Linked DNA regions of Alligator mississippiensis. The protein of the gene in region 1 purifies or fractionates together with the protein of each later gene. This does not show direct contact. Links are inferred from orthologs where the notes say so. Each region holds a gene or a part of one and is shown on either strand. Other genes may lie near its edges. The genes, in order: PTPN2 and KPNA6.

What was found.
Region 2: the proteins of PTPN2 (region 1) and KPNA6 purify together in Homo sapiens (affinity purification with mass spectrometry; 3 studies listed by BioGRID and IntAct, with this or other methods). This does not show direct contact. The link is inferred for Alligator mississippiensis from reciprocal best matches to the Homo sapiens genes PTPN2 and KPNA6.

Annotation. Positions count from the first base shown.
Region 1 is NC_081826.1:97,921,816-97,938,249, reverse strand, and holds the start of PTPN2 (tyrosine-protein phosphatase non-receptor type 2), read left to right. Parts: upstream 1-8,470; 5' UTR 8,471-8,577; coding exon 8,578-8,646; intron 8,647-16,434. UniProt on the Homo sapiens protein: Non-receptor type tyrosine-specific phosphatase that dephosphorylates receptor protein tyrosine kinases including INSR, EGFR, CSF1R, PDGFR.
Region 2 is NC_081829.1:5,506,023-5,522,054, forward strand, and holds the start of KPNA6 (importin subunit alpha-7), read left to right. Parts: upstream 1-8,600; 5' UTR 8,601-8,705; coding exon 8,706-8,709; intron 8,710-16,032. Other genes in the region: protein FAM229A, read left to right, coding at 1,234-1,352, 2,973-3,075. UniProt on the Homo sapiens protein: Functions in nuclear protein import as an adapter protein for nuclear receptor KPNB1. Binds specifically and directly to substrates containing either a simple or bipartite NLS motif.

The DNA.
Region 1 (16,434 bases):
CAACAAGACGTGGCTGCAACATAATGACTGGGGCTTTGTAATGTAGGGAAGCCTTTACATGTTCGTATAAATATCCCTTATCTTCAGAGAAGGAATGGCATAGTGCCCTTTCCAAAATTTGCACAATGGAAGACTTGAACATGATACAATTTGACTTGTTAAAGGGCAAAGCTGTCGGATGTGTATTTGTGAACACAAGTTGCTTTAGTGAGAAATTTCTTCATCTACCCCCAGTTCCAATTCCAGAGTGATTTACAACAAAGTATCACAGAAAAAAAAATTCTAATTGATGACGTTTATACCATTGGTAGCAAATGGACCAAAAATGAATGGAGCAGGGCACCAAGATGTGCGTGCTACTTCAAAGGGCTCAGAAGGCTAGGCAGAGCTCCACAACTGCATGTTGCCTTAAGCAATGGCCTAATAGGGTAATTGGCCTGCACCTGCATGCAGTCAGGTGACCAGGAGGAGGCAGGGCCCTGGAGGACACATAAGTCTAGGGCTGGAGCTAGGAGGAACACCCACTCTCTCTAGCAATTGCCAAGGAAAGGAGTCTCTGCCCAAGTGAGCTATCTGAGACTAGGTGCTGCCTATTTTGCTGCCTACATGAACAGTGAGGATCCAGAGGTTTAAGGTACCCATGGCTAAGAGATGTGTTGTCCTAAGGGTGGAAGTTTTACCTTCTTAAAAAGACAGAACACAGTCTCGATTAGTGTCGTTATGTTGTAGCCCCAGAGCTTGTATTTGTGTTATCATTTAATAAGGTGGACCGGGATGAGGCTATAAGGGGAGGTTTGGAGGCCTCATTAGTGCTCAGAAAAAAGGGCACATGATCTGGACAGAGCCCAGTGACAGGCACATACAGCTGGGCACCAGAGAGAGGGAGGAGTGGAGAGCCAGATGTCAGAGAAAGGCATAGAGTCAGGCACCAGAGAACTTGGTGCCTGAGTGGTGTAGAGATGCAGGAGCCAGAGGCTCCATGTCAAGAGGACTTATAGAGTTGCTAACAACAGTGTAACATCTGCGAGGCATGGGACATGCTAAAGGAAGGTCGGAGTTGTGTGCAAAGACCTAGACATTGGGCATTAAATGGCCAGCTTCCCACATTATTATAACTAGTATCTTAACAACAAGGCATGGCAGAAGAGACTGGGCAGACTGCCCTAGACAGGGGGGTGGGCTGGTACTGTGACCAGGCCCTGGAGAGTGCCCCAGTGCCACAGTGAATATGGAGAAACTTGCACTTAGTCCATTCCATAGTGGAACCAGAGTGAACTGTTATGCCAAGATTATCATAAAATTATCACTTCAGGTTACACCATTACCACTTTTATTTTTACAGCAACAGTTACCAGACATCAGCCTTGCAAACAATATCACACATTATACAGAACAGTCCCTAGGGTAACCAAAGCACCACTGAGTTCAGCACTGCTGCAGATCCCTACTCCCTGAAGCCAATTTAATTTTGCCACAGTAGCAAGATGCTTCCCAAATTCTCACTTCACTCCAACAAGAAAATATATCCTTGCAATAATTATTTGTTTTTTATGCTGCCATACAAAAGTATCATCATTGTCCTTTTCCAAAAAAACCCCCAAAAACTAACCCTGGGTGGATTCTAGTTTTTCATATATCTCTGTTTGGGATGCATATACCCCATTTTAACCTCAACCATTAAAGATTAAGATGGGGTGGTTCAGCTTCTAAGTGGCCGAGGACCACGCACCCTGTGGGCAGCACCCGCTGGGGTCACAGTCCCTGGCTTGCATGGAGACCCCCACCACTGCAACAACCCAGTGAGGATGCCCCCCCATCACTGTTGCAATGCATGCCACACTGCCCCAGCCTCAATAAGCTTGTCATGCTGCACTGCACCACTCTCTAAGGTGGGCCCTGAGCATGGAAGCTGGAGGAGGAAGAGGGCTCTTGGAGATTCTGGCTGCTATTGCAGCCAGAGCAATTGGGGGAGTGATAGCTGAGTTATTACCTGCTTTCTCAACATGGGTCAAGCACTAGCTGTGCATCAGTGGAAAGATAAGGAAGCTGCAGGTCAGAAAGGGTTCTTCCTCAGTAAAGGGCTTTAAGGGAACTATTTAGGTAAGTGGGAGAGGCTGCTGCAGACTGACACCTCTGGGTACATTTGCACCTGAATATTAATGTGACAGTTCTAGGAACATTTCCAGAGCTGCCTTGCCAGGACACTTCTGAATTTGCAGTATGTGTATGGGTACAGGGGGGTAAGGCATATCTAGCCCCTCTCTTCAGCAGAACCTACCAACAACATAGTGTAGAAAAGGTCATAATGATCTCACCAGGGTGCTGGAGTCCTAACCAAAATGCTGGATGGGGGAAACAGTGTTTGGCAAAGTACAGTAAAAATTAAAGCAGGCTCACTGCAAAAACCTACTACATGAAACTGGTAGAGGATGCCAATTGGCAAAGTCAGGAAAGCTAACCCACACCTTGTCATAAAATCCATAGATGCATCACGAGTAAGTCAAAGGAGGTGATCCTCCCCCTCTATATGACATTGGTCAGGCCTCAGTTGAAGTACTGTGTCCAGTTCTGGGCACCCCATTTCATGAGTTAATAGTCATAACAGATGGCATGTCTGTAAGGAGAACAGAATTAATCATAAGGCGCACCAACAAACTAACCTCAACTTCTTGCAGTTGAGATTACATTTAATCTCTGCACCAATGTTTTTCAACTTCTTTAGGCTCAAGACACCCTCCGGAAAATGCTAAATCTTAGTTTTCACTAATGTATTAACTGTGAAAAAATAATAGATCCATTTTTCTGTTGCAGAAACCTCAGAAAGACCACAACAGGTTAGAATGTTTTTGACACTATGGATTCCTATTTGAAATGTCTGGGTTTATCTGGTGAATCATGTTTGCACACCTAACACTGCTCACACTGCTGTGGCACCCTGGTCAAGAATCACTGCTCCACACATGAACACCTCATGCCTCCTGGGGCACGATGACCACCTGCAGGTGGTGGCAGTGGCAAGTGGGGACTGCCCGCAGGTGGCCGCAGTGGTGTTGGCAGCAGAGGGTCGGGGTGGTGAGCACTGACCGGCAGTCAGAGACTGCCTGCAGACACCACTGGTGGTGTCAGCAGCGAGGGGAGGGGTGGTAAGAGGCAACCACCTGCAGGTGCAGCTGGCACCAGTGGCAGCCAGTCTCAGGGGGTGCACTACCAATCTCATGGGGTGCACGTGCACCTGCGTGCACCCCCTACGTGTCACCAATGGCTCCACATGACAAACTATTCTCTTCACCTTCCTCTGCAAGGTATCCAATTAATCTATATTGAAACTTTGAACACTAAACAGATTTATGCAGAGGCCAAAGCACTAGAACAGTGATTCTCAACTTTTTTTAGATTTGAGGTATCCCTTGGAAAATGCCAGCTCTTAACTTTCCTTCATGCCTTGACTAAGGAAACATAATAGAACAATTCTTCTGTGGCAAAGAACTCAGTAAGTCACAACAGGTTAGAATGCTTTCAACATGGTGGATTCCTATTTGAAATCTCTTGGTTTATCCTGTGAATCATGTGTAGGTGTTTACACACATAGCACCCCATGGCACCTTTAAAAGGATTTTGCAGTACCTTCGTTGAAAATCATTGCATTACTGGGTCATGGCTTGTTTTGCCTTTGTACATACATATCCCCTTCATCACTCTTCGTTTTGTCTCCACAGGTAACTTTAAATTCAGATTACACACAAATTAGTACAAGCCCAGGGAATGGATTAAATGGAAGAACTCCCATGACTTTATGATTATACTTGTGCTGCTCTTAATTCCTGCTCAAACTAGTTGGAACTACTAGGTGTGTAATTCTAAAAGAATACTGTTATAACAGTATCTTGCTTGCTTTTTTTAATCTTCCTCTGAATTATAAAATACTTAACTACACAGTTAATGTGGAATGGGAACATGGTATTGACAATACTATATAATTATATTTTATAATATTAATTGTATATTCCACAATTCTCCATGTTAGAGAGCAAAACTTGCAGTTCAGGGATTATCCAACATTTCCATTTCTAGAAACTGTGCACTTGTACAACATGTACCATGAAGTCTCAACAAACAGCAATGTTTCCAGTAACCTTTGCTTTACTAGTTGGTACTCTTCTATTCTAAACCCAGGTCTAAGTCACAACAAATAAATGCTCTTTCCATTTTCCAACAGATGGGTGCAGGCATAGAGTTGCATAACAGATTCAAAACAGAACTTGTACTGCAACCCTCCACCTAAGAAAATACCTACGTTGCTCACACCATGAGCCTATATACCCAAATGGTTTTACAAGTAAAAACCTGCAATGTACAGGGCAGCTCTCATTAGAAGTCTACTCATTAGAAGAGATGATACAATCTCACACGTTCATACATCAGCAGCACTACTCCTCTTCATCTTCCCAAAGACATACCAAGTTGCCAATATCACATTTAGTGTACGTGCCCAGGGATACTCCTGCTGATTCTTGGATGTAACATTATCATTCCCACAATCTGGACTGTTCAGAAAGAGAAAAAGATATAATTATGCTCCATGTGTCTAAGTCCTTCTTTTACTTTATTCTTATCAAGCAGGCTAAGCAGAATAATGGGGCTGAATGTAGTTACTTCCACTCATTCAGTTACTATGGGCTCATGTTTACCAAGGTTTGACCACATCTTTTTGACTTGTATCTACATTACCTGAGATCCCAGGTCGTCTCCCAACCACATACTGAGAGGCCCAGAATTGCTTAGCTTCCTAGCTCAGATGCATTAAGTCCAGCATGGCTACTTTACAGGAATGAAATAATTTAACCTAATTTGTACAGACATCAACATGGGCGGATTTAGGATTTGGAAAAGGAGGGTGGAGATGATGTGGCACATCATCACATCTAACACAACACACATTTTCTAGTTAAAGGGAAACTAGAAGCTTTACTAATATGCTCGGTGGCTAGCACTAGCACTATATTATTAATAATCAAAGCAAAAATAAATATACTGGAATTTGCACTAATTTGCTACATTATATATACATTTAAACAAACCAAAACAAACTAGGTAAAAAAATTGTTAGAAGATATTGTGACACTAATCACGTAATCATTATAGTTAAATGTACATCTCTTATTCAGATTTATAAAATAAAATCTAGCCTTCCTGAACATCTTGACAGAGCCTCCAATACTTTACTCAGTCATTTCTACACCTGAGTTAATACTACCACACCTGAGTTACGGTTTTTAGCTAGAGTTAAAAACAGTCTGCAGGTCTGTGATATAGACAAGAGATGTTGCCAGGAAAGGCTAACAGACAACGAAATTGCAAAAGAAAGGACAGTTTGGATAGTGGAACACCAAGACCATTAAAAAAGGATTGTGAATCCACTGCAGAGTGAAAAGAGATTAGCAGGAATCAGGGGGGTGATAGTGAGCCATTAAGCCAATTGACTCTTTCAGCACTTTCTGAATAGAAATACTGATGCCCCTCCCAGGCAGTTGGTTTTAAAGTCTGGGTGGAGCAGGAATCAAAGGAAGCGGGGTGTAACTGGTCAAAAACCAGTTTCTCTTTGAAGAGAACAATTTCTGTACTCCTGGATAACTCCTTCTCCCCAGATGGTTCAATAGTCACACTTCATCCTTATTGAGCTCTGTCACAGTGCATTAATTCCTGTCTACTCCCCTACCATTAAAATAATTTATTTATTTACTTGTTAATCTTATACACTACCACATAACACATGCTTTAGTATACATTCACAGGACATTAAACTATACTCGTCATCTATCCCTTTATCTTGCAGGTAGACACAGAGGTCAAGAACTACATAATAGACCTACAAACTAATTTGGAAAATACCTATTTGGGATTTGATTAAATACCCTAAGAAAATATTCTGGAACTTAATGGCAAGTGATGTTGCACCAGCTCTGCTCCAGAGATACACACAATATTGTTCCTAGAGAGGATAAGTGGGATATTGACCCTTTCCACAGAATCAGGGGATTCTCCTTGGCTAGTAAATATGGTTCACTTTATTTCACTCTAACCCAAAAAGCAGCAGCCAGCCCTTGACAATTTTCTGAGAGAATAACACAGAATCACAGCCAGAAATTTATTTCAAAGATATCTACACTTCATTACAATAACCACACACACATATATTTTTCATACACCCCAGATGAACTAATTTAATTAATTCACTTACAAGCAATTGCAAACATACTCAGATTCCTCTAACATGTCTTTTTTTCTTCTTTATCATTTATCATCATGATGTCAAGACCAGTAGGGATACAGCAAAACAAGCAGGGCTTCATCTACTGGGGCAGTAATTTGCAACCAGGCTGCCATGACACCCTAGCGTAACTTGAGATCCTTTCAAAGATGTCCAGGGGGTATCAGGCAATGTTAGCCCTGTTAGGTGTGCAAACATGATTTCCAAGATTAAACCCAGAGATTTCAAATAGGAATCCATAATGTTAAAAACATTTTGGCCTGTTGTGCTCTTTCTGAGTTCTTTGTAACAGAAGAATTGCTCTATTATTTTTCCACAAAAAATGAGTGATAACTAAGAGCTGGCATTTTCTGACCAATGCCTCAAGTTGGAAAAAGTTGAAAACCACTGTACTAGGGTATGGGACAACTTATCTGATATATATGAACTTGTCACAGGGTAAGGTACTGCTTATCCAACGCTCCATGGAAATTACTTTTGCACCCCATCTATACTATGGTAATTAGAAAGTAAGCCATGGTATCTTAGTCCTCAGTGCCTGAGGGTTAAGTTACACAGGCTAGCTTCTGATTAGCACAGGTAAGGAATGACATCCACAGGGGCAGCTGCAGCTGAGCAACAGATGCACAGTAAAGCCCCACCCTGTGATACCTTTGTGCATCTGTGTGTTTAAGCAGTGTAATGCATATAATGGGAGGCAAAAAAAGCAGCAGAACAAAATGCTCACAAACAGATGTAACTGCATTTGGACTTCCCTTGGAGAAACAAGCAGTCAGAGATCTGGTCATCTGGCATCCCATGTTATTTAAGTTGTCCCATACCCTAGTACAGTGGTTCTCAACCTTTTCCAACTTGAGGCATCTGTCAGAAAACACCAGCTCTTAGTTTTCACTTGACTGTAGATAAATAGTAAGAGCAATTAGTCTGTTGAAAATAGCTCAGAAAAACCACAATAGGCCAGAATGTTTTTAACACTAGGGATTCCTATTTGAAATCCCTGGGTTTATCTTGCAACTCATGTTTATGCACCTGAGCCCAAAAGAAAGGAAGACAAGGCCCCTGCACATTACTTGTGCAATTCCTGTGAGTTGGAGCAGCCTCACATTTAGAGCAGCCCCACATGCAGAGCAATAATCACTGGATTAACTGGTGAGTCATGCCATAAATTTAGACATGCCAGCCATTAACCACCATAAAAAGGACTTTCCAGCTATAAAAAGAGCTGAGCAGCTACAAAGTTAGTGCTTGAACGTGCCTAAGAACTCCAGAGCTGGTTTCTAGCAGCTTGACGTGAAAGTGTGGCTGGTCGTGTGAGGAAAGGATGCGAAGAGGCAGAGCCAACCCTAGGGGAGTGGGGGGCCCCCTTAACACTGCATGGGGCTGTGGTGGGGTACCGCAAGGGTGGGGGGGGTCTCCATGCTTCTTCCGTAGCGCAGCCCCACAGGAGAGGATGTGGCCGCTCCGCCCAGGTCCATGCGCCCCCCACAAAGTGCAGGGCCCAGTGTAGTCACCCCGATTTTCCATACCCTAGGGAGGGCTCTGTGAAGAGGGCAGAACAGCACTGCTAGGTCCTATCCAGGGTGACAAGGTCAGTCAATCGGATATCTGAACTCAACTACTTGGAAAATATTTTTCTTGGCAAGCTGTGCCTGAGCGCTTGTACCTGAAAGCTTGTCAGGAAGAATTTTTCCAAGTCTTTGAGTTAGTCTAATAAAAGATATGGGCTTTACCCAAAGCACCTTCTGTGTCCACGTCCTCATAGCCAACACGCCTGGGCCTAAGGCTTTTTTGGCTTATTGCACGGCCTGCAGCTGGAGCACGAGGTGAGGCGCAAGCCGCGTCAGCAGAGGGCAGCAGAGCTGACTGAAAAACCACTGCTGCCATCCTAGGGCTCTGCCTCTGCGGGAGTGGGCTGGGCCCCTGGATCGCGTCCGTCTCCGCGCGCGGGACTGTAGAGGCGAGGCAAGCACTGCATCTCGGAATCTCGGAGGCGACCGTTGAGCTGAAGAGGCTCCACCCCCTCCTCACCTAGACGTTCCCGTGCAGCCCCGCCCCAGCCCTCGCGGCTTGTGACGTCACCCCAGGTGCTTTCCCCGGGGGGCGGGGTTGCGCCAGCCCCCGGGGGGCGGGAGCTCGCGGCGCGCATGCGCGCGGCGCCAGCGGAGAGCCCCGCGGGTTCCCGTGTGCGCGCGCGCTAGTGCCGGCGCAGCGGGGCGGCGGGCACTCGGCGCTCGCGCTCCGTGCGTGGCGCGCGGGAGGGGTTATGAGCCTGTCGGGCTTCAGCGGCTACTCTCGCTCCGGCCGCCATCATGTCAGCTCTCATCGAGCAGGAGTTCCAGGAGATAGACGCCGCTAACGACTGGCAGGCGCGCTACCTGGTGAGTGCGCGGGAGAGGGGAAGGATGCCAGGAGCCGCTGACCCGCGGCTCGGTTTCAGCTGCGAGGCTGCGGGAGGCGGCTAGTGCGCATGCTCTGAAGCAGGCACGCGGGAGGGAGAACGGAGGCGCGGAGGGTGCACTGGTCGGAGCGGAGAGGGGTGCGCGCATGCTCCCTGGCGAGCGCAGGGGGCGGGCAACGAATGCGGTTGGAACAACGCATGCGCCACGCGGGAGAGGAGGGGGAGGTGGATAGCTGCACATGCGCCACTGAGGGGAGGCGTGCATCGGGACTGGAGGGCGCAGGCGTTCCGTTCCCTCCCCCCCCTTCTGTCTTGGCTTCCGGGGCGCTGCTCCTGTCTGTGGCTGGGCGTACTGTTCCCCCTAGTCCCCCCGTTTTCGGCTGGCCGATGTTTTACCTCACGCCTGTAAAGTCAGGCTGAGGCGAAAAAGCGGCCGGGAGTAGTAGTTAGCCCTGTTAAGTCTGAAGCTAGGCAGAAGGCTGGGGAGATGTTCATCTTCTAGACGGGAGTAGAGTAGAGAGGCTTTCCTGAACTCCAGCTTGCTTCCTCTGAAGTGAGCCCCGGTTCATAAAAGCTTCTCGCTGTCTTATTTGGTTAGCCTGTAAGGTGCAACTCTGCTCTGCCACTGCCTGCCGAACAGCAAAGCTGGGGACTGCCTAGGATTCTCTCTCTCAGAACTCTTCCCCAGGCCGCGCCCCCCCCCTCCCCCCCCTTGCTGCTGGCTGGAGAGTTCAGCGGCAGCACAAATGTGGTAGCATTCATTGATTGGGAAGATTTGATGGCACACTCTGCCTGTGGTTCTGATGTGCCTGGCATTGCAGCATTTAACTGCCTGCCCCTGGTCTATGATATACTTGTGCATTATTTTGGGCAGAGGGCTGCTTACTGAGTTTTGGCAAGCCATCAAGGGCCGTATGACGGGCATCCCAGGATAAATATTAATTTTCTAAATTTTTTAGGGGCCCCACAGGCTGGATAGAATGGCCTGGTGGGCCGCATCCAGTCCCCAAGGCGCATTTTGGCCACCCCTGTCATACAGTCATAGAAATGAGGGTTGGAAGGGACCTCAGGAGCGCATCTAGTCCAACCCCCTGCTCAAAGCAAGACCATCCTCAATTAGATGGCTCCAGCCAGGGATTTGTGAAGCTGTCCCTTAAAAACCTTCAGGGATGGAGCTTCTACCACTCTTCTAGGTAACCTGTTCCAGTGCTTCACCACCCTCCTAGTGAGAGAGTTTTTCCTAATATCCAACTTAAACATCCCTTGCTGCAGCTTGACACCATTGCTCTTGGTTATCAAATCCCCCCACTCAAGTCTTTTTTTCTGCAGACTAAATAAACCCAGTTCCCTCAGCCTCTCCTTGGAAGTCATGTGCCCCAACCGCCTAACCATTTTCATTGCCCTCTGCTGGAGACTCCAGCTTGTCCACATCCTTTCTCTAGTGGGGGCCCAAAAGTGGACACAGTAGTCCAGGTGTGGCCTCACCAGTGCAAAATAGAGGGGAATACTTACTTCCCTCGATCTGCTGGCAATGCTCTACTAATGCAGTTCCCACAAATTCTGTTGTCCCCTTTTCCTGTGGCCCTCCCACCTAAGCATGGGGTTGTTCTGTCCTTAGTGCAGGACTTTGCACTTGTCCTTGTTGAACCTCATGAGATTTCCTTGTTGAACCTTATATCAGGGAATCTGTGCTTTAAACATTAAGGGATACTGAGAATGGATGGATCCCTTGTGCTTGTTGCAGGATTTCTTGTAGGTGGTGATTGCATTTGGGGGCTTGCATCTTAATTCAAGATGTTGTATACCAACTTCCTGGAAGATCCTGTGTTGCTTATTTGAATCAAAGCAACTCAATTACATGCAAGAAAATAACCTGCTTCCTATTTTTGTGGAAATAGGAGCAGTTAGTAATAAGGATGGTAATTTGCATTCTGAGATTTTTTTTTTTTAATTAGGGTGTTCACAGCATTTCTTGATAAATGCTGATGAGCTAACTTCTACTGTACCATATTGAGCTGTCTTAGGTAATCATGGAAACAAATGAGGAATTGACTTTTAATTTCTCTACTGTTTAAGAACCCCTGGCAAAATTAGTACTTCCTAGATCATTCTTTCTTATCCACTGCTTTCCCTCTTAAATTACATTTGCAGTTTGGTCTACTTTTGAACTTATTTTTATATTAATATATAAATAAGACATAGCATTTTAAACAGTGGTGTAATATGACAGTAGAAGACCAGTAATGTCTATGACTATAAGGTAAGCCTATGTACCAGTAGTAATGATGTAATCAATATGGGTCACTATTGCTGTTAAATAGTTACTGTTGTATGGGTTACTATTGCTGTAAAATATATATAGAAAGCACAACTGGTGTCCAGAGTGCCTCTATAAATCAAGTTAGTTTTCACAAATCCTCTCAGTTTTATTAAAATTAACTTGGATTAAAAATGTAAATATTAAGAGCTCTGCAAACCGTATAGTTTAAAACTATAGATTTTTCTAGTCTGATTTCAGATAAATGATGTAGTTTTAATAGATGTAGATTTTTGTTTGACTTTTCAACTTGTATGTGTGTGCATACTTACAAAGTGTTTTCAGTAAGCTTCCACGAATTTCAGTCCTACACTACAAAACTAAATTTTTTAATCTTTCTGGATTTGTTTTAACAGTAGAGAAATGCAAAGTAATTGTATTTCTGAATTCAATCAAAGTTATAGTGTAACTATAATATTGTGAGCTCATATGAAATTATACTCAATGCTTAGGTTGCATGTTCACTGAAATCACATTAACCTCTAGATACTTTACTATGAAAATATAAATAAGAAGTAGGTACTCTATAGAAATAATTTGATTACGTTCAACAAATTCTGAAGAAAAAAAGAAAATTGAAAACCAGGGGATTACATCCCCTATCTACTGAGTCCTTTATCTCTAACAAACTCATGGAGATGAAATTGTATTAGATCACAGAGCATCTGGAAAGAGCTCAAGGGTTTATTTAGTCTAGCCACAAGCTAGCAGAGAGCAGATTTAGATTGGACATTAGGAAGAACTTCTTCACAGTTCGAGTGGCCAAGGTCTGGAACGGGCTCCCAAGGGAGGTGGTGCTCTCCCCTACCCTGGGGGTCTTCAAGAGGAGGTTAGATGAGTATCTAGCTGGGGTCATCTAGACCCAGCACTCTTTCCTGCTTATGCAGGGGGTCGGACTCGATGATCTATTGAGGTCCCTTCCGACCCTAACATCTATGAATCTATGCTGCTCATTGACCCCCGTTTTTTTCAGTACAGAACTGTGATTAGGATATATTTCCCCAACAGATTGACTTCCTAGGTGAATACGCTGTGTATCACATCTGTCATCTGGTCATTTCCTACCTAGTTCATACATGAATAATTTTGTGATAATACTTGGAGAGTGGGGGTCAACCTTTTTGGCAGGTGTATCACAAATTAGCCTTGCACCCTCCCTGAATGCCACTGCCCAATTTGCTACTCTGCTTTCTGCTCCATACTCTGTGCCTTCAGCCCAACTTCCTACTAAGCCTTCTGCTTTATGCTTTAGCTGCTGCTGCACTACCTGTCCCCCTCACTGATCTGTTGCATGCACACAGAGGCTGCATGTGCCACTTGTGGCACTTGTGTCCCAGGTTGTCTGCCCCCGGCTGGCATAAGAAGTTGATGCCACTTATGCTCAATTGCCTTCCTTCAAGACATATTTGGGCCACTGTAGAAATGTTTTCAGCTAATTTGATCTCTGGGGAAAATGGGAGACTTATATAAACATGCATATTGAGACGTTTTCAAAATAATTATAATTGAGAAGTTGGGAGTTTCTTTTTTAATGTTTTTATATGGTGGGGAAAATAATTTTTTCCATACTTTCTATTAAGAGGTTTAATGTTGCTGTCTCACTTAATATGTTGAGCTGGTCCAAAACGCACTTGTATGCTGTATATTTGTGTTAACCTTGTAAGAAAGCAGACATTGATGTTAAAAAAGACAGCATACAATACCACACCTTTATGAAAAGTAGGAAAATTCTGTATCTCGGGAGCTCCAAAGTGGTTGCCTGCCAGCTGTTTCCCTTGTTCAGTGCAGTGCTTTTGTTGCTTTTTATAGCAAAACAAATGCCTAATTTTATTTCTTGTGCAAAGTGTCACTGCAGATAAAGTGACATAATATTTGCAAAACAATCCCAGTTCTTTGAAACTATAAACTTCATTAAAGTACTCATTCAAGTCCTGTCTTCAGTAAGAGGATAAAAATATTGTAGCAAGATTTTTTCTCAGGTTTGGTTTGGTTTTTTTGTAAGGTGGTAGGGAATGTAGATTTCAGGAGGCCAAAGAAGACAAGGCCCAGAATTAGGGGTGCACTGGTAAAGATTTTCTTGGCTGATACTGACAGCCAGGTATTAACAAGCTGTATTGGCTGATACCTATCCAATAACTGATTTACAGGAATGCAGCCTGGAGCTTGGAGAGCAGCATCTGGCCGGTTAGTCTGTTGAGGCTAGGGGCATGGGGGAGGGAAAGGGTGGTGGGCGGGGCGGGATTGAGGCCCCCATGGTGAGGGATGGAGTGGAACAGGAGTTGCCCAGCCAGGGCAGTGCATGTGACCCCTCTGGGAGCAGGACAGAGCTGCACATTCCTTGTCTGGGGGCTGCAGGGGGTGGAGGGGTGCAACTTTCTGATGCTGTGCACACTCCCGGTGGAGTTATGGGGGAGCCTGTGCCCCCCTGGATTCATGCTTGGGGTGGGGGCAGGCTGTGGGCTCAGGGCCAGGAGCTGTACTGGCCTTTTCCTGGTGGTGGGGGCTGGACTCAGGGCAGGCAGGGGCGGGGCAGTGTGTGTGGCGGTGGCTATGGTGGGGCTACAGCGAATTTTGGGGTGGCCATAGCCCACCCTGTAGCCATCCCTCCCAGCGCTGCTGCCCCTGCCTGCCCTGAGCTCAGCCTCGGCCCAGCTCCCCCACCAGGAAGAGGCTGGCACAGCCCCTGGCCCCAAGCTTGCGATGGGTTGTCTGCCCTCAGCCTGCACACAAATCTGGATGGGGGTTTATGCCCCTCCTGCTTCTCCCTGGGGTGAGTGCAGCGGTGGAGAACTGACCCACCTACAGACTCCCTGGATGAGCCTCCTGCGACTCTGTCCCACTCCCAGCGGGGTTGCATTCACTGCCCTTGTTGGGTAGCGTCTGCCCTTGCCCCACTCCTTCCTTCACTGTGGGGGCCTTGATCTGTTCCTTCCCCATCCCCCTCCCCCCAAATGTCCCTTCCCCTCCACAGATTTACTGGCAGAAAACTGCTCCCCAAGCTGCAAGGCTGCACTCCTGACCAATGCATGCTGTGGCTGCACACATGCACGTGGCATTTATCGGTGACATCAGCTACACCGGCCAAAAAAGGCCAATTGCTGATAACGTTAATTTTCCTTTTTTCGGTGCTGATCTGATATGCCACTGATATATCGGTGCTCCTCTACACAGAATAATTAGCTTTGGAGGTGAAACTGAATAAGGGGAACATAGAGCATTTTTGAGGGATATTACAACATTGATGTGAAAGACTGAGAGAAGGTAGAAATAAGATGGTATTACAAAGTAAAACATTTATTTCTTTACCTCACAAAAGAACAGAATAAGGCTACTAAGGTTCTTTATGGTGTATTGAGACTGTCAGGAGCTGTTATTTGCCAGTGGTTCTTCAGTTCTGTCAGAGATTACCCAAGCTTGCCATGAACACCTCTCTGTTGCTTGTGGTTATTGAGTTAATTTGTGCAGGGCTAGCTTAGTTTCATAGCTTTATAGTTGGTAGGGTCAGAAGGGACCTGAGTATATCATCAAGTCCGACCCCCTGCCATGGGCAGGAAAGAATGCAGAAATAAAATTACCCTGGCTACATATCTATCTAGCCTCCTTTTGAAGACCCCCAGGGTAGGAGCGAGCACCACTTCTCTTGGAAGTTGGTTGCAGATCCTAGCTGCCCTGACTGTGAAGTAGTGTCTCCTGATACCTAGCCTGAATCTACTCTCCATCAGCTTATGGCTGTTATTCTTCGTTAGTTCCGGTAGTGCTCGGGGGAACAGGGACTCTCCCATTGCCTGCTGGTCCCCCTTGGTCAGTTTGTAGATGGCCACCAGATTCCATCTCAATCTTCTCTTGTGGAGGCTGAACAGGTTCAGGTCCCATAGCCTCCCCTCGTAGGGCCTGCCTTGCTGCCCCCTGATCATGTGAGTGGCCCTCCTCTGGACCCTCTTGATGCAAGCTTAGAAGGCTAGTTAGTGAGGGGATGCAAGCCAAGAACATAGAGCAAATGGGGGTCCAGGAGGCTTGGAGGCATCTCAAGGGAGTGATCCTTGGGGCTCAAAAGGAGTCTATCCCATTACGTAGGAAGGGAGGTAAGGGGGCAAAAAAGCCCCCTTGGCTGAACAGGGAACTCCAGGAGAGTCTGGGGGCAAAGAAAGAGATGTATAGGTAATGGAAGCAGGGAGCAGCCACCAAGGAGGAATATATCTCCCTGGTGTGCTATTGCAGGGAATTAGTTAGACAGGCCAAGGCGGGGCTTGAGCTCAGGCTGGCTTCAACAATCAATAGTCCTTCAGGTATGTAGCGGGCAATAAAAAGTCCTTCTTCAGGTATATAGTGGGCAAAAGGAAAGCTCAGAACAACATAGGGCCCCTGCAGGACATATCAGGACAGTTGGTGGTTGATATGGGGGGGAAAGCATTGCTCTTCAATGAGTTCTTCGCTTCAGTATTTTTAAGTACCGACCAAGCCAGTTCCCCCACCTCGACCATTGACGGATGTCCACATGGCACCAGTCCGCCTACGGTTAGTTCTGAAATAGTTAAGGAGCTCCTGGAAGAGCTGGATGGGTACAAGTCAGCAGGCCCGGATGACCTCCATCCACGGTTGCTGAAAGAATTGGCCAGTGTCATAGCTGAGCCACTGGCACAGCTGTTTGAGCACTCATGGTGCTCTGGCCAGGTCCCTGAGGACTGGAGAAGGGCCATTGTGGTGCCCATTTTCAAGAAAGGGAGAAGGGATGAGCCGGATAATTTTAAGCCAGTCAGTCTTACCTCTATTCCTGGGAAAATGCTAGAGAAAATAATCAAAGAACACATTTGTGAAGGCCCAGCAGGGGAAACGATACAGAGGGGAAACCAGCACAAGTTTGTCACAGGTAGATCCTGCCTAACAAACCTTGTAGCCTTCTATGACCAGGTCGCACACTGCCTGGATGTTGGCGCAGAGGCTGATGTCATCTTCCTGGACCTTAGGAAGGCCTTTGACACAGTTTTGCACCCTATCCTCATTGGGAAGCTAGCAGACTATGGAGTGGATGCCTACACAGTCAGGTGGGTGTCCAACTGGCTTAGGGACTGTACCCGGAGAGTGGTGGTGGATGGTTCCTTCTCGGCCTGGAGGGAGGTGGGCAGCGGGGTCCTGCAGGGTTCGGTCCTCGGACTGATATTATTTAATATCTTCATCAGCGATTTGGATGAGGGCGTGGAGAGCACCCTCTCCAAGTTCGCTGATGATACCAAGTTATGGGGCAGAGTTAGTACACCCGAGGGCAGGGATCAGATTCAGGCCGACCTGGACAGGTTGGATCAATGGGTAGAGAGAAATAGGATGCTTTTGAATGAAGATAAATGTAAGGTACTCCACCTGGGAAGGAGGAATCCCCAGCACACCTATAGGTTGGGGAGTGTCCTTCTCAGCAGCTCGGAGGGAGAGAGGGATCTTGGAGTCATAACTGACTCC
Region 2 (16,032 bases), on another chromosome or scaffold:
TCATAGTAACACTTAGTGCTTACAGAACCATCCCCATCTGTATGTCTCGGTGCTTGTCAAAAGAGGCTAGTATCAACCTTTCGTGGATGGAGGAGCTGAGGTACAAAGAGAGTGACTTGCCCAGTGACCCAGCAGCCCAGTGACCCAGTGAGAAATTGAGCCCAGGTGCTATTCCAGGGGTGGGCAATTATTTTGGGCAGAGGGCTGCTTACTGAGTTTTGGCAAGCCATCGAGGGTTGCATGATGGGCAGCCAGGGGCAGCTAAATATTAATTTTCTAGAATGGCCTGGTGGGCTGCATTTTGCCCACCCCGTGCTATTCATTAGGCTACACTACCTCCTTTGTTGAGGGGCTGCCCATCTTGGTCACTGCACAGAGGTGGAACAAAGATGATTCCTGCCCTATTGACTTTGTGATCCGCTTTTGGGGACCGGTGAGGGAAACGCCTTGTGGAGTAGGCTTTGCGTTTGTGCTCAGTCTTAGTTTACCAGACCAAGTAAGAGTCCAGTGTGAGGGGCTTACGGGATCCCTTTCTAAACCCCATGATGGATCCCCACAGGGACTGGCGTCCAGGAGGGAACATACAGATCAACCTCAAAGATTCCTTTGGTCTCAGCATCTGCAAGGTAAGACCTTTTCCTCAGCCTTTGGGGAACAGAGGCAGCTCCCATCTGCCTTCTCAGGCTGGTGGGATCTGGCTTGAAAATAGCCCTAGATTAAGACCAGGTAAGTCTGGAGCACTGAGACTACGCTGCTAGTCAACATGGCCTCAGCTTCTTTGTGCTCCCTGTCTGCAACCAGCTGTGGTCTTACACTTGGGGCAGGCTCTTTGGGGTGGGAGCTGTGGCTTTGCTGTGTGGCAGCATGGTGCCCAACACAGCAGCTCTGGTCTGTGCCCAGGGCTCCAGGGAAGAGCCCCAGGCCTTGATCTATGGGCTTGGGAACGCAGAGAAGGCCATGCCCCAGCTGTCTTGTGATGTAAGAGGAGCCTCCCGTGTCACAATGCAGAAGGCTCTCTGCCTCCTGTTTGCCTTGCTCGCATTGTGCCCTTTGCACTAGGCTCCCAGACTGCCAGGCGTACTCCTGGGAATCCTCCCAAGCCTCTGCAAAGTGTGTCAGGGCCTCACAAGGGTGTGGGAGGTGAAGGGGTGGATGGCGCTGAGCTTCTGGCCCCGCCAAATCACCCATGCTTACCTTGCTTCTCTCGTCATCAAACAGGTCTGGGGCTAGGACATGAACTCTCAGGAGACCCCACAAACTCGGAGATTCCCCATCGAGGCAGGAGATTCCCCCAGCCTGGCAGCTGCTCCAGAAACCCAGGAGCCAGTTGCCACTGAGCACACTGCAGCAAGGTACGGGCAGTGATGGGGGGCCTGAAGCTGAGTGCACATGTGAGCCAGCCATTCCCTGTGCGCAGGGGATGCAGCTTCTCTTGGCTGGAAGCTGGGAAGTGACCCCCAGTGAGCACTTGGGCTCTGGCCTGGGCCAGTCCTGCTTCCGCTGGGTCCATCCCCTTGGTTGCTGTAGGGGCAGCTACTGTGTTTAGGTCATTCACATACATCCCCCCCACTCCAGAAACCTGGGCTTTTCTGGTCTGTGGAGAGGGAGGGTGTTGCCTTATTTTAATCTCTTCAATTGCCCCCTTTGATCCTGCTGGGGGGGGTGCAGTGGCTAGGAGTCTCAGCCCTTTCCCTCTGCTCTTCAGTGTCTCCTTGGTCCAGCTGTGTTCTTCCCAAGCACTGGGGAGGAGGCCACAGAGACATCTCGGGGCTGGAAAGAAAGAAAGAGAAAGGGTGCTGTAGCCCCATAGGAGCTGCTCCTGTTCAGGGGAGGCCAGCCCAGCTTGGGCAGGCTGCGACAGCCTCTTGGCTGTAAGAGTTGCCTGATCCAGCTCTGGCAAACCATGTTAACAGCCCAGGCTGGTTCCTGCAGACTGGGCACTGAAAAAAGCTCCAGAGGGGCAGGGCTGGGTTAGGGTTAACTGTGTAGTGTGCCCTCCCTGGGTACCTGCTTTAGTACAGCTTAGTGCTGGGAGCAGATGCACCCCTGGTGGAGTCCCCTTGACTTTGGGGCTTCAGGACTTTGGTCTGGAGCCTGTGGGTGGCGGAGAAGGGGGCTCAGGGGGTACAGTGATGAGGAGCAGGGAAGGGGCTGCTGGCTTAGCAAAGGGATTACATGAGCTGGAGGAGGGCTGGGATGGCTGTGTGTGGGAGGTCCCTTCCCTACTGGGCTGGTGTCTCTATCACCGGCAGAGAGCAACAGTGTGAATGGAACCAGGTTTCTGTAGAAGTGGGCTGGCCCTGCCACACGCTCATCCTTGCCACCCTGCCTTCTCAGTAAGCTGTGCCGCAGAGCACGAGACCCAGCTCAGGCCTCGCGAGACTGCTCTGACTGGTGGGTGGCTCTGCTGTGCTGAGGCAGCTGCCTGGGAGCTGCCATATCAGCCCCCGGCAGCACCCCTGCGGGCTCAGGTCTTGACCCAACCCCTTGGCCTTTATCTCCTCAGACATGCGGGCTCTGTGCAGGATCCGCCTCCCTGTGAGAGCTGAGTTTGACAATGCCGGCCCCCCTCAGTGGGGCATCTGAGGGGTCTTCCCCTTGTTCTACCGATGGACGTGGGCAGTATATTCCAGCTGGGTCTCAGGCTGCTGCTCCATCCTGGTATCCTTGGTGTAGGGGTGCAATGCCAGATCCCATAAAGCCTTTCTCTGCATAAAGCCAGAGGAAAAGGGCACAAAGGACCTGTCTGAGCCGAGTGCTGCTGCCTCCCTGCCCTGTCCAGGCGGGCTCTGATCCCCTGACTCAGTCCAGCCCCTGCTGGCAGGAGCCAGCTGCTAGACTGCCAGGCCAGCCCATGTTTCTCTGCATCCAGATAACCATGTCAGCAACCTTGCACCAGCCTCCTGGGAGGCTGGAATCAACCAGGTCTCCTTTCCCCCCACCCACAACCCCCACTCTCTCTCATTGTGCAGGCAACTGAGAAGATGCCCAGGGTGCCACTGCCTGACGCTGCCCAACGTCCCCATTGACGTCTACATTGCCATGGGTGGGAACCGCAGGCCGCGGACCACCTAGCGGTTCCCCCAAGTTGGACTCGAGTGCTGAGGCCACGGAGGCTGCCGCCAGCAACGCCCCGGCAGCCGGAGAACAGCAAAGGGCGCCACGCAGAACGGTGACGCACATTTTAATAAAAGGACGTCTTAGAATGTTCCTCTGCATCGGGTTCCTCTGCCGTGGCTCCCGCCAAGAGACTTGGCAGGGCCTCTCGCCGGTGCCTGGTGCCTGGGGTCTCGGCAGGGAATGACCGGCTCCAGGTTTGTGGAGGAGGTTGCCTGGCAGAGGGCACTGCTTGTGCGGTCCTGGCTTGCTGCAGAGGCTTTGGCACCAGGCTCTATCAGAAGCTGGTATGATTTGCTCCTGACAGTCTTTGGGTTCAACCTATGTGTCTCCCCTGCCCCTGCCATGGCTGCCTCTCCCTGCTGGGCTACCTGGGGCTGCTTCCCAATGCCCTTCTAGAACACTGGTTTGTCCCCAGCCTGACCCTCCCATTCCCATCCTCTCTCTTCCAGCCCTGCAGCATCTGCTTGGTACCCAACTCAGCAGGCGGGCAGGCAGCTCCTGCAAGGGCAGAGCGTGGGGTGCCCTGGTTCCCAGGCTCTCCCTATTCTCACTCTGGCCTTTCTGGTGGAAGAGGAATTGGACGGACCCTGCACTGGCTGGCTGGAAGCATAGGTAGCACTAGCAGCCTCCTCCCCTGCTCCTGCTGGGTTTGATCCAGTCATGGGGAGGAGTGTGGGGAATGTATTTGAGCACAGAGGTGTTGCTGGACAGCCTGGGTTGGGGCAGAGGTTGGTGGGGGTGACGAGATTCGCTTTAACGGAGCAAGGAGGGTGAGGTTCGGAGTGTGATCAAGTCAGTGGATGGGACTGCAGGTGGTCTTGGATTGTGCAGGAGCTGAATGCTGGATGGGTGGCTGGTAGCAGGGGAGCCTCCCATAGCGTGCACTAGCACAGGGGCTGCCCACCCCCAGGGGAGGGAAGGAGGTGGCAGGGAGCCAGCAGTAAGAGCATGTTGTGTGCAGGCTGCTCCAACCAGGGTTCCTCCAGGGCTCTGCTCTTCATCACTTGGGAGGTAGGGCACAGAGCGCTGCTGCCTCATCCCTGCCTTCCAAATGTGGAATCACTTTTATCCTTTATATCTCTGAACCGCCTGTGAGTTTTGTAACCACCTTTGTTGGGGGAGAAAAGTTCTTTAATCCAGAGCTTTTCATAGGCAGATGTTGAGATGTCTATGCCTTTGTTTCTCTTGGATGCACCAGGGGTGTGATTCTCCCCTGCATTGCACCAAGGGGCATGAGTAGCCCCCTGATTTGGCAGCATTTCAGGCCTGCTTTGCATGGGTGGGTTGGCATTTGTTTGCTTAACATCCACACCATGGAGTGTGTGTATTTGGAGCATGTGTGTCACAGCCATGCCTGGTGCTCTTAAGCAGAAAGGGGGAGATTCGTGATGGTTCCCAGGTCCAGTGGGCCTTTGTGGCAACAAGTTGAGAGGTCCATCTCCCACACGGACAGGTTTTCTCCTTGTGGTCAAAGCAGTACTTCTGCTGTGATAATTAGCCTTCTTTCTGCATGTTTTCTGCCTCTGGCCAAAGGCATTAAGCTAGCAGTTGCCAGCTCCTCACCTGTTGAAATTGGAGGCTTCCATCCTTTAATTCTACTCTATCAGGCATGAATTGGTGTTGGAGCAGCAGGTCTGTCACGGGTGTGGGGGCTGATGTGTCTACCTCATTTGACTTGAAATGTTTTCCTGCCATCTTGGCCCCCCATGCAAAGATGAGAGCCCGTCAGAGCTCCATATAAAGGGAAACCTGGCTCTGCAGGCCACGTGCCACCCCAATGAAATTACATCTTCACTAGCTTCCACGTGCTGGGGGTTGGAGGACTCCTGCCTATGAGGATGGGCTGTGGAGCATAAGGTTCCCTGCCAGCAGCTGGCACAGAAACTCCGTTTTTCCATCAACTTGCAGCTTATGCTTTAACATCCCTGGTTCCTGCTGCCCTGGGGTTGAGAGCAAAGCTCAGACAGAGAGGAGCCTGGCAGCAGATGTATACCATCTTGTGCCAGAGACTATAGGGAGCTTTGTCCCCTGCACCCGGAATAATAGAGGTAACATCATTGGATTTAGCAGTGCGCGCAAAAAACGCCTTGTGTTGCCGTATGTTCATCTTGGATTTCTCTCCTCTCTTCTCCAAGACAAGGGATCATTAGATCATCCAGTGTGACCTTGGCAATGCAAAGACAAGAGTCTGTCAAAGCTCCTTCCACAGGGAAAGCTGGCATGTTGTTATGTTTTGTCCTGCTATCACTGCATGGAGCCCAAGGGCATGTTTAGCTGAAACTCTGTTTTAGAAAGCCATGCAGTCCTGCTCTGAAGCCTCAAAGACTGGAGGAGCCAGTGCTTCCCCTGGGTGGTTTGTTCCAACAGTTCATTCCCCCACTGCTAGACACTGGTGCCTTCATCCTAGCTTTGAATTTGGCTGACTTCAGCTTGCAGCTGTTGGGTCTTGTTCTGGCCTTTTCTGATTCAGATAGTCTATAAGGTGTATCTCTACCTTGCCTTCTGCCTTTGCAGCTACGTTGGAGAAAGTGTTAGTGTCTTAGTGTCACTAGGAAGGTTTTTATATGTTGAAAATCAAATTGCCTCGATAGTCTCTCGGATGTCTCTGTGCAGCACTTCCTTCAGCCCTTCGATCATTCAGGGGTTCTTTCTGCACTCTCCCCAATTTTTCAAAACTTTTTTTTAATACAGATGCCCAAATGGGGTGCGGCATCCTGATATCTACATCATCAGTGCCACGTGCAGCATCCTCCTCATGACTGCTTCCTTGCTCTGGGATCTCGTTTTGAGTTGTACACCCATTAGGATCCCTACATCCTCTTCAGAGTGGCTGCCTTGCAGAATCCAGTGCGCCAGCCTGGAGGCACAGCCTGCAGTTTTTCTTCCGGGACTTATGAACCTTGCATTGGGCTGCCTTTAACGACATTATGTTTGAATGGGTGCACCAGGTGATTCACTAAGGCAGCTGGTTCCTGCCCTAACTCAGCAAAAGGGTGGAAGGTAAGAGTGCTTGGGGCCCTCTGATGGAGGTCCCGTATGAGCAGTCTCACCTGATGGAGAAGGCTGGAACAGACCCCAGCCAAGTCCCAGACTGGGGAGCTTCAACACTGCACAGCAAGGGACCCTGGTGTAAGAATGTGCCCAGGGGCTGCTCTCGCCCGTCTCCTATGCCAGAGGGCTCTGAACTACTTTGTTTTCATTATTTGCCATCTGCCACAATTGATTTCATATTAACCCCTGGTCACCGTCAAAGCATATTGTCCTGATCCCTGAGACAGCGTGGGAGATCCCTTCCCCCACTTGAATCATAGCTCCCCACAGGTAACTTTTTTTTTTTTTCTTTTTTGAGATTTGTCAGTTATGCAGATATTGGTCCATCACTCTCATGTTGCTATTGCACTCAATAAAAGCAGAATGTGCAGTTCCCATGCTACCTGTGCCTGGCCAAAGTCTGCCGGTTGTATTAACTCTGTTACTTTTCCCAGCTCATGTGTAATTTCCAAAAATCCCATTTTTATTGATGAGGTCACTAAAACCGCACTGGCCAGTACCAATCCTGTATCTATTCCTGTGCTAAAGGTCACCCCCTCCTCAAACCCTGCTGTGCAAAGGCATCTAGATGGAGCAAGCTGTGTCCTACAATCACCGGAGTCCTCTGTGACTGCATGAAGCAGACTGGGGGGGAGGCATTCTCAGAGGCATATTGTGGGGCAATTATTACACTTCCTGGTCACATCTGCATGAGACGCTGACTGCACGGTAGCTCGTTACTACACAGTAGCATTGCGTGGCACAAAGTGTGGTGCGACACTACTGCGCAGGTGACGTTACCTAAAAGCCATTCAGCAACGCTACTGTGCGCTGACTCCAGGAACTGCACAGTGATTTAGTACTTATGTATGCAAGTACTGCACAGTCAGCATCTTGTCATATATGGGATAAGGAAAGCTCCTGCTTCCAGCTGGGAAGGTAGCATCTGATTTCTTCCTCAATGCTGCTCCTGCTTTCCTCCTTTCCACACCGTCTGGGGGAGGCTCGGGCTGGATCCCTGGTCTGTGGGTCAGCACCGACCTGCCCGCCTGCTCTCTAGGTGTTGCAGCAGGCTCTGCTCTGAGTGCAGAAGAGAGGCAGGGGGGAAAGCCACCCCTAGGCTCCTTCTCTCCCTTGGGCCCCTTGCTATGCAGTGTCAAAGCTCCTCAGGCTGGGGCCTGCTTCAGCCTTTTCCACCAAGTGAAGCTGCTTTGAAGGGACCCCTCCGAGCTCCTGCTCCACCTTTGGGCTGGGCTGGGGCAGAAACCAGTTGCCTTAGTGAGTTGGCACGAGCCTTTCCCAGCAAGATCAGCACTGCTGGCATCACACTGCTGGGGAGAGCGGGGACAGAAATGGAGGAACTAATAGCACCCCTTGCCTCTGCCAGCACATGTCAGCCATATACATCTCCCTCTGCCCGCAGAGAAAAGCAAACAGCCATTTACCCTGGGTCTGAGCACCAGTACCTTTCTCAGGCGGGAGGGGGAGAGCAGTTCCCGGGTAAAGGCAGAAATCTCTCTCTCGTTATTGGGGTTAGTCCTGGGATAAGGAAGCTTTCCCTTGGTCTCTGCTCCAGTCTGGCTCAGGTGGCTGCTGCCCCTGAAATCTGGCAGGTGGGCAGCAAGCTGCTGCTTTGGCACCAGGCCCTGGCAGACAAACAGCCTCGTACAGCATGGTTGGGTTAATGGCACTTGCCCCCTTGGGTGAGGACAAGAGCCGGCCAGAGCTGGGGACTGCCTCCCCTTCACCTGGTCCCCGAGACCAGGGCCCTGCCCTGCAGTGTCCATGGAGCCGGCCCATGGCCAGTGGTGCCCAGCAAGGATGCTCCCGCGGGAGCCGGGGATGCCCAGGCAGGGAGTGCACACAGTGCCGGATTTAGGCTTAAACTACTTAAGCTACAGTTTAGGGCCTTGCAATAGAGATTTCATAGGTGTTAGGGCCAGAAGGAACATCAGCAGATCGAGTCTGACCCCCTGCCCGGGGCAGGGAAGGGCGCTGGGGTCCGACGGCTCCAGCCAGGGGCTTGCCCAGCCTCCTCTTCAAGACCCCCAGGATAGGGCAGAGCACCACCTCCCTCGGGAGCCCCTTCTCCCTTGAGAGCCCAATAGGAGGGGCCTCTAAATGAGAAGAAAAACCCCCAAACCCTGGGCATTTTCACTCTATGAATGTATATTTCATGTATACATTTCAGGTGTATATTTCATGTGTCATAATGTGACAAAAATATACCTCTGCCTAATACAAGAGGTCCGATTCACCCAAGGAGCCTTGTCTGCCCTCGGTATATACAGCTCCATGCAGACGTAACGAGGGTCCCGCTCTCGCGGGTTACCTTCGCCCCCTTCATGCGCACGGAGCCCGGCGCTCCAGCGTGTCGCTGCCGCCCGCGCCGGGCCGCCAGGGGGCGCGCTGTCCCTTTAAGAGGCGTCCGCATCGCGTCGCGCGGAGGTTTGTCCGCTCGCGGCCGCCGTTTCACCCCCCCCCTCGCTGCCCGTCCGCCATATTGTGGCCGCCGCCGCCTGCGAGCCGGAGCGTCGGAGCCGCCGGAGACAGCGATGGGTGAGGGCCGGCGCCGGGGCCCGGGTGGGCGCCGGGGGGTCCCCCTAGCAGGGTGCTCGCGGCCCCGGGGGCGCTGTCTCATTCCCACGGAGATCCCTGCGCGGGCCGCGGCCTGGGCCTGCCCCGGGGGTGCGGGCCGGGCCGCGCCGAGCGGCGCCCGCCTCCCCGGCGGGGCTCATCCCGCTCTCGGGAACTCGTCTTAAAAAAACCCGCGGCCCCGGAGCAGGCAGGACCGAGCCGGCTTCTTTCCAGCGTCGCTGCCCTGCCCGGCCCGGCCCTGTCGGCTCCCGGGTGTCAGCCCTCAGGAAGCGGGCCCGAGCCTGGGCGCAGAGTCGCTGCGTGGGGCTGCCTCTGTGGAGGCGACAGGGAGCAAAATACCCGCGTGCGAGTCCAGGTGTCCCTCGGCCTGGATGTGCCAGTTCGCCCTCGTGCCCCGGTTTCGTTACCCGCGGGGTAACCCCGCTGTCACGCCGTCCGTGAATCGGGGCGGGGGGGCGCCGAAATGCAGCCTCCCGCACGGACCTGGCTGCCTGCGACACGTCTCCGTGACAGGGACAGCCGCCCCCGCCGTCTGCTATGGGCGAGCCCCAAAACGGTCTCGCCCGAGCCGTCGAGTTGAGGTCTCGGAGCGTATCCGATTTTTGCGTGTCTCCGCTTCTATAACGCGCCCGTCTTGAAGCGCTCTCAAACTGTCCTTCTTTGAAAGTGGGTTCCCTGCATGTAAATTGGAGCTGGGCCCGTTTTCCAGCGAGGCGCGTACGGCACGAAGCGAGGGAAACGCGTCTAGCGAGCGGACGGTGACGGGTCGCTCTCCGTAGGAGCATCGTGCTGCGCGTCCTTGATCTGCTCTCGCTTGGCTGGGAGCGAAGGCTTTCGACGCCGGGAAGGGCGAGACCGCCCTTTTTAGGCCCTTAATGAGCCAGGCTGGAGCGGGGGGGGGGTTGGATGACAAGCCAAAGCAACCCGGCTGAGCGTACCGCCGGCCGGCCGGCCCCTCTTGAAAGCCAGGGCCGACTGCTTGACGACGGCGCTGTCGAGCGAGGTGTCAAAGGAAAGGCCGGTCTAGTTGCAAGTCCCTGGTTCTGGGCCCTGCCTGGGCAAAACGGCCTTTCCGGGATCTTTTATTCCACCTCCCAACGCCGCTTGCTTGTAAAACCATGACTTAAAAAAAGCGGCGCCGAGAGCAGGAACGAGGTAGCGATGGAGCTGTGCCGTCCGGGACGCTGCCTGACGTATCGCAACTTGGATGTCAGCTCTTGACCGGAGGTTTGAACTGAATTGAGGTTGGAAAGCCGTCACTTGGCTTCTCAAAACAGAGGGCGAACGCAGGGGGAGCAGGCCCCCTTTCGTGTGTCCTGCTGGTCTGTGTTACATGATTTACGACCCCGGCTAACTCAGCTCTCTGGATGAAAGCAGTTGAATAGAGTAATTTAGGCTTTACATAAAAAAAACCTGCACTGGCAGATCATTGAGGCAGTGGTTAAGTGCTCAGTTTGGGTATACCAAAACAGCCGATGCAGGTAATGTTAACATAACAGAGGGACAGAGCTAAAGAGATTGCTGTATATAGCAGTGTGTGTTATGTCCAGCCCTGCGCAGCAAGCTCTTTGCTGCGCAAGCTGTGCACACACAACATAGAGTAGTGCACCACGCTTCATGCTGACACAAAACTACTTGAGACAAAAACTTGGGCAGCTCAGTTAGGTGGCTGCTTTGCTTTGCATATGGTTGTATGGACTGAACACTTATTTGTGAAATGAGTGTGGGAAAGGGTCAAGATAAAGGCATGGAAATAGGATCTCTGTTCAATAAACGATTTACAAACCATTGCGGAAGGCAAGTAAACTTTAGGATGACCTACAGTCTGGGGGTGGGGTGCATACACAACACTATCTAAGTTTAACAAATTGGGTATTAGCAAAGATTAATGTTGGGCGTTTTCCCTTGTAGTCTTCTTGGGGAAGGAGTTTCAAGGCAACCTGGAATGGTGAAATGCTTGGAGCAGGTACAAACACCAAGTCTTAAGTGTTTGGTTTAGACAGAGGCCTAATCCCCTGGTTTAAGTGCTATTATACTACTCCAGCTAAGATCAGCTTGGTCTTTATTATGCCTTTGTAGATGCTAGAGCCTGTCTATGTATGCTGGGATACTTGTCTTCTGCACGAAGCGCGCAGCTCTGTGGAGAAAGCGACAGAAAAGACCTGGAAAATGTAGGAGGGTAAAGAAGGTATCCAGGTTGTAGCTATATTGGTTTAGAGGAAAAAGCGATTGGGATTGGTGGTAGAGGTGATTATATCTTTTATTAGACCAGCTAGATTTTTGCAAAAAAAATCTCTTTAATTGCAAGCTTTTGGGCAGACAGTTGAATGTGAAAGTGAGTCTTTGGGGACTGGCTGAAGAAAAAATGGCAACCTCTGTGTTTATTCCCTCAGGCCTCTGTAATCTCAACCCAAACCTTAACAGGATTGAATTTGGTGAAAGACCAATATACCAAGTGACGGTGAATTCCCTAGAAGCAAACCTTTGCTTTTCCTCTCCCTCTGCAGCCAGCACCATCAGCAAAGTGGCTGTGCCTTCCAAAAATGAGATCACATCACGGGCTCTCGGTAGCTAAAACAGAAGGGAATGAGCCAATGGTGACTGCTGCACCAGACAGCCAAAATAATTGCATGGATAAGCGTTTTACTAGCACAGAATGTGCTGTGTGCACAGCACACAGCTATGGGATCCAAGGCAGGCTGTGTTAAGACAGGTCTTAGCATCCACTGAATTAACGGATGTTCGTTTGTATTGAACATTCAGGAAAGAATTTGCCTTGAGAAGGTAAATGTGGCCCAGGTACGAAACAGAAAATACCTATGGTTTTCTCTTCTATTTTTATTTTTTTTAATAATCTTAAACTTTGTTTTACTGAAACTTTTTCTGAACAATGCCACATGTAACACTTAATCTGCGTATCTGAAATATTGGAGGGAAACCTCAGTTTAATTTCTCTGATGGTTTCTCTGCATTACTTTGCTTTTTCTTGCAAGTGAAACCTCACTGGTACAAGAGGTGAGGGACGACTTGAAAATGGGTATTGGAGCTAAAGAGCAGGTTCAGTAAACCCCCCCCCTTATTTAGCTAGTTCTAGAAAGGCACTAGATTGAGTTAATGTTGTCCCTTCATGTGTACATGCAGCTAACTCTGTCCTGTGTATATATTCTTCCTGACAAGCTTAATTAGATGGTCAGATATTTCTCAAATACAACTTTAGGTTCTTTTCCCTACAACCTTTGACCGTGGTGAATTCTCTTAGTTTAGTTACGAACTATTCAAGGAGAGAGTTTCTTAGACAAATGTTGACAGGTCCTTATCTGTAGCTGCTGCTGGTGAACCTATGGAAACTATCTGCTAGCTGGTAAAGCAGGACTCTGCATTCTTCTCTTATTTACAAAAAAAAAAAATGATGTTATCCACTTGCATTTAAAAAATGATTTTTCAATTCCATTGTATTTTTGATACTGTTCTGAATTTTGTAAGGCTTTTATTTCTGTACCACCATTCAGGTTATACAGATCTTTCAACAATCAGGAAACTAATTGCAGAAGTAATGGTAAAAGCACCTTTTTTTAGTGCTGTCAGTCACACAGCAAAAGGATTTTCTTTCCATTTACTAACTTATTTAGTTTATCCTGATCCCAGGTGTTACTTCTACCTATAGTTATTTAATTAAAAAAAAAAATCACAAAAAAACGGATGTGGTCTTGTAACTGTTGGCTTCTCTTTTATATTTTTAAAGAAATTACAGTGATTAGTGTTAATATATTGGCTAGATCAAAGGAGGAAAGGATTACATTCCTAAATGCTTCAGGGGCACTTATTGGTGTTCCATTGTCTCCGTGGCTTTGAATGGTTCTGTTTTGCTCACCGAATGCAGCAATTTTACTGCGACTTCCCAGCAGGAAGCACAGTCTACTGCTATAGTTTGAAGGAAGTGCCAATTAGTGGTTGAATGCAAAAGAGGTTGGATGTTGTACTAGGATGCATTTTACTAGAAAAATGTATTGCATTTCCACATCTCCTGCCATTTGGGGATCTCAAAGCATTGTACAGATACTAGCTAGTCAAACCTAACAATTTAGTAGGTGCTGAATAAGTCCAAGGCATTATCTTACAAGATAACAGGACATTCATCTTTCAGCGAATCAAGTTTCTCTGAGAAAGCAGAAGAAAAATGCAGTTATCAAGACTTTTTGTAAGAAGTCGGCTTTTGAAGGCACATTATGTCTAAGCCTTTGGACAATTTAACAGGTGATGGACAAGCAGGAGTGTCTGGCTGACTTAACTTTCAGTGCCCAGCTATTACCTCTTGTATTCAGTTAAACAATGACAACTGGTGATAAAACTCTATGCAAGGCAGAGATTGGCAAATCTTTCATTAAAAGAAAAAAAAAAGACCACAGTCTTTTAAGACTGTGACAGATGAACCCAATGTTATGTGAAGCTGTTGTACTCAGCAAAAGCCACTTCACTTGTTTTGGTTTCCAGCATCATTAAACAGTCATTAACTTGTCCCGTGAAATGCTCACTTCCTTGGGAGGAACATGGCATGTGCTTTGTAATCAGTTTGCTTGATATTTTTTTTTTTTTTTTTTTTTTTTTAAACCTTGAGCCGTTCCTTCGGCGCATGGACATTTTCATCAGAAATAAGCCCCTCAAAGAAATGAACCTGCCAATCTTATTGCTTTGGTGATGACTATAATTAGCAATTGATCTTTTCCTGCTTAGTGTCTGTAGGCCTGTTGACCTCTTTGAGGATTGCTGTGCAATTAACTGAATAATGAGCATTGATTCCTCATTATCCTTACAAGCAGCTGTTTGGGAGTCTGTAAAACCCAACTGGGCTTAAAAGGCAACTTTCTACGAAATAGAAGAGTGGAAACTTCAGAGAAATGGGGTGGGGAGGCTTGCAGTCATCGTCTTTCCATGTGCAGAGTTAAACAGATTTCCCTTGAGCTTTACATGAACACAGTGCAAGGTATATGTATTTGTATGTACATATACTTGCATATGTAACATCTTAGCCCTGTTATGGTTTAAACTGCAGTAGTAACAGCTGTACAGATTATTTGTGGAGGTCGGTGGGGACATCCCTTGTTAGACTCCAGCTCCCCCTTAGAAAGTGCAAGCTCTTAGCTTTCACTTGTTTTTTGACTGTGGAAAAATAATAGAGCAGTTTTCTTGTTGCAAAGAACTCGGAGACCCGAGCAGGTCAGAATGCTTTTATACGGTGGATTCCTGCGTTGAAAGCTCTGGGTTTACCTTGTGAATCATGTAGATGTTTTGACACCTGACAGTGAGCTTCCAAGGGAGGTGGTGCTCACCCCGTCCTTGGGGGTCTTCAAGAGGAGACTGGCCTGGCACCTGGCTGGGATCACATGACCCCAGGCTTGACCCTTTTCTTGCCTGCCAGGGGCAGGGGGTCGGACCAGATGGCCCAGTGAGGTCCCTTCCGACCCTAGAATCTATGAATGGTAATAGTGTGCGGCATCCTTAAAAGGATCTCGTGCACCCTGATTGAGAATCACGGTGTAGGTGGTATGACTCTTATAATAGTTATGACTAAAGGTGTAGGGTGATGTCATTCAGGTCTTGAGTTCACTGACCTGTCTCCAGTGCCCTTTGTACTCCAGTTCAGTCATGCTTTCTCAGGACAAATCTAGCCACATGTTGCCAAAATATAAAAGGCTTCAGAAATTGGGCAGAGGCAGGGACAAGAGTCGCAGAGACAAGAGTCCCATTAGAATGGGACTCTTGCGTTGTATTTTTGCACGTCATCCTGTGTTCACTTGTCACTACTCTTCTAAATTAGAGGCACCGCGACAACTTTGCACTCTGCCGTCTTTCCCATGAGTTTGGGCACAGCTTTTTCTCCTTGTTTTTGATGGAAAGTCAGTCTTATCGCTTTTGACTACAGTATTGGTTTCCCTGATGTGCTTCAGCAGACAGGTCAGGTGGGGGCTTATGGCTGCTCTGAGGTTAACTGTCGCATCTTGATGTCTGAGATTTACAGATAAGGTTGGAAGAGGAAACCTGGTTAACTGCACTTGACCCAGCTGTGAAGTGGAACTGAAACATTTAAACTAAACCGGACCTGGGGAACAAACTGGCCAGTGCAATGATTGCAGCTCCTCTATGGGATATCATGATATGGAAAGAACTTGGGAACGGCAGCTTTTTCTAAAGGCAGCTGCTCACATTTTTCTGGGTAGATAAGTGGAGCTGTATGCAGTTAACAGCATGGAAATGTTTTGGATGAACATGGCCATATAAAGCAGACGAGAGCTATTTTCAGGATCTCATGCCTCCTTTTAAAAAGGCAGGCTGAAGGGGTAGCCCCTTGGACCGATCTCATTCTAGTAGTGCTATGGCTAGTTTGCCTGGCACCCCTTCTCAGAGGTAGCCGCCTGTTCAGTGATGCCAGAGACTCTCACTTTGAAGTAGGGTGGAAGGAAGGGAGCAATAAAAACACAAAATCTCTCGTGAGGATGGACGGGGGGAATACTTTTGAAGTCTTTTCAGCTCTTAAGTTTGCCTCTTCTTGCAAACCTCCTAGAATCCTTGACGAGGCAAGCTGCCGGCGGTGCTCATGTTCAGGAACACACAAAGCCTGCAGATGAAGACTTCTTTCCCTCCTCTCTGCTTGCTCACTCCCAGTATGGTTATCTGACCTGTCAGTAGCTAGGGAATCTCTGAGGGGACTTTATGCAGACTAATGTTGGGGCTTTTGCTAGGCCTCTGCAAGGCAGTCATTCTGATAAAACCGTTCCAGCATGGCATGCCGACAGAATACCAGGAGGTTGAGGTCAGCATGGAGGCAGTGACCAGGCATGTGTCTTCAGCAGCCTGTTTTACAGGAACAAGTAAGCATTATGATGCTGTTGGGGGGCTTTTTTTTTCCCTGTAGGCTCTGAGCTAAGAAATGGGGAGGCAGGTGAGTAGTAATACTGAGGGGGTGCCATGGGACTCGGAAAGAAGTATAATCTGAATGATACTTGCCATGAGGTCAAGAAAAGAATCAAAGAAAGTAGCAAGCAAAGCTGGCTAGACCGCACTGTGTGGCTGTTTATCGGTGAACTTTGGTATTCATAAAAAACAGGCTTTTCATGGTAAGTTGACCAGCTTTACAGTTAAAAACCGCTTAGAGTAAATGTTACCTGATTGTTCAGTTCCTTTCACAGCAAGAAAATATAGCCTGTTAGGGAGGGGATGTAATGATGCATCTCTCTTTCACCTGACACCAACCTCAAAGACTAAGCATATTAGCCAGGGCATGAAAAA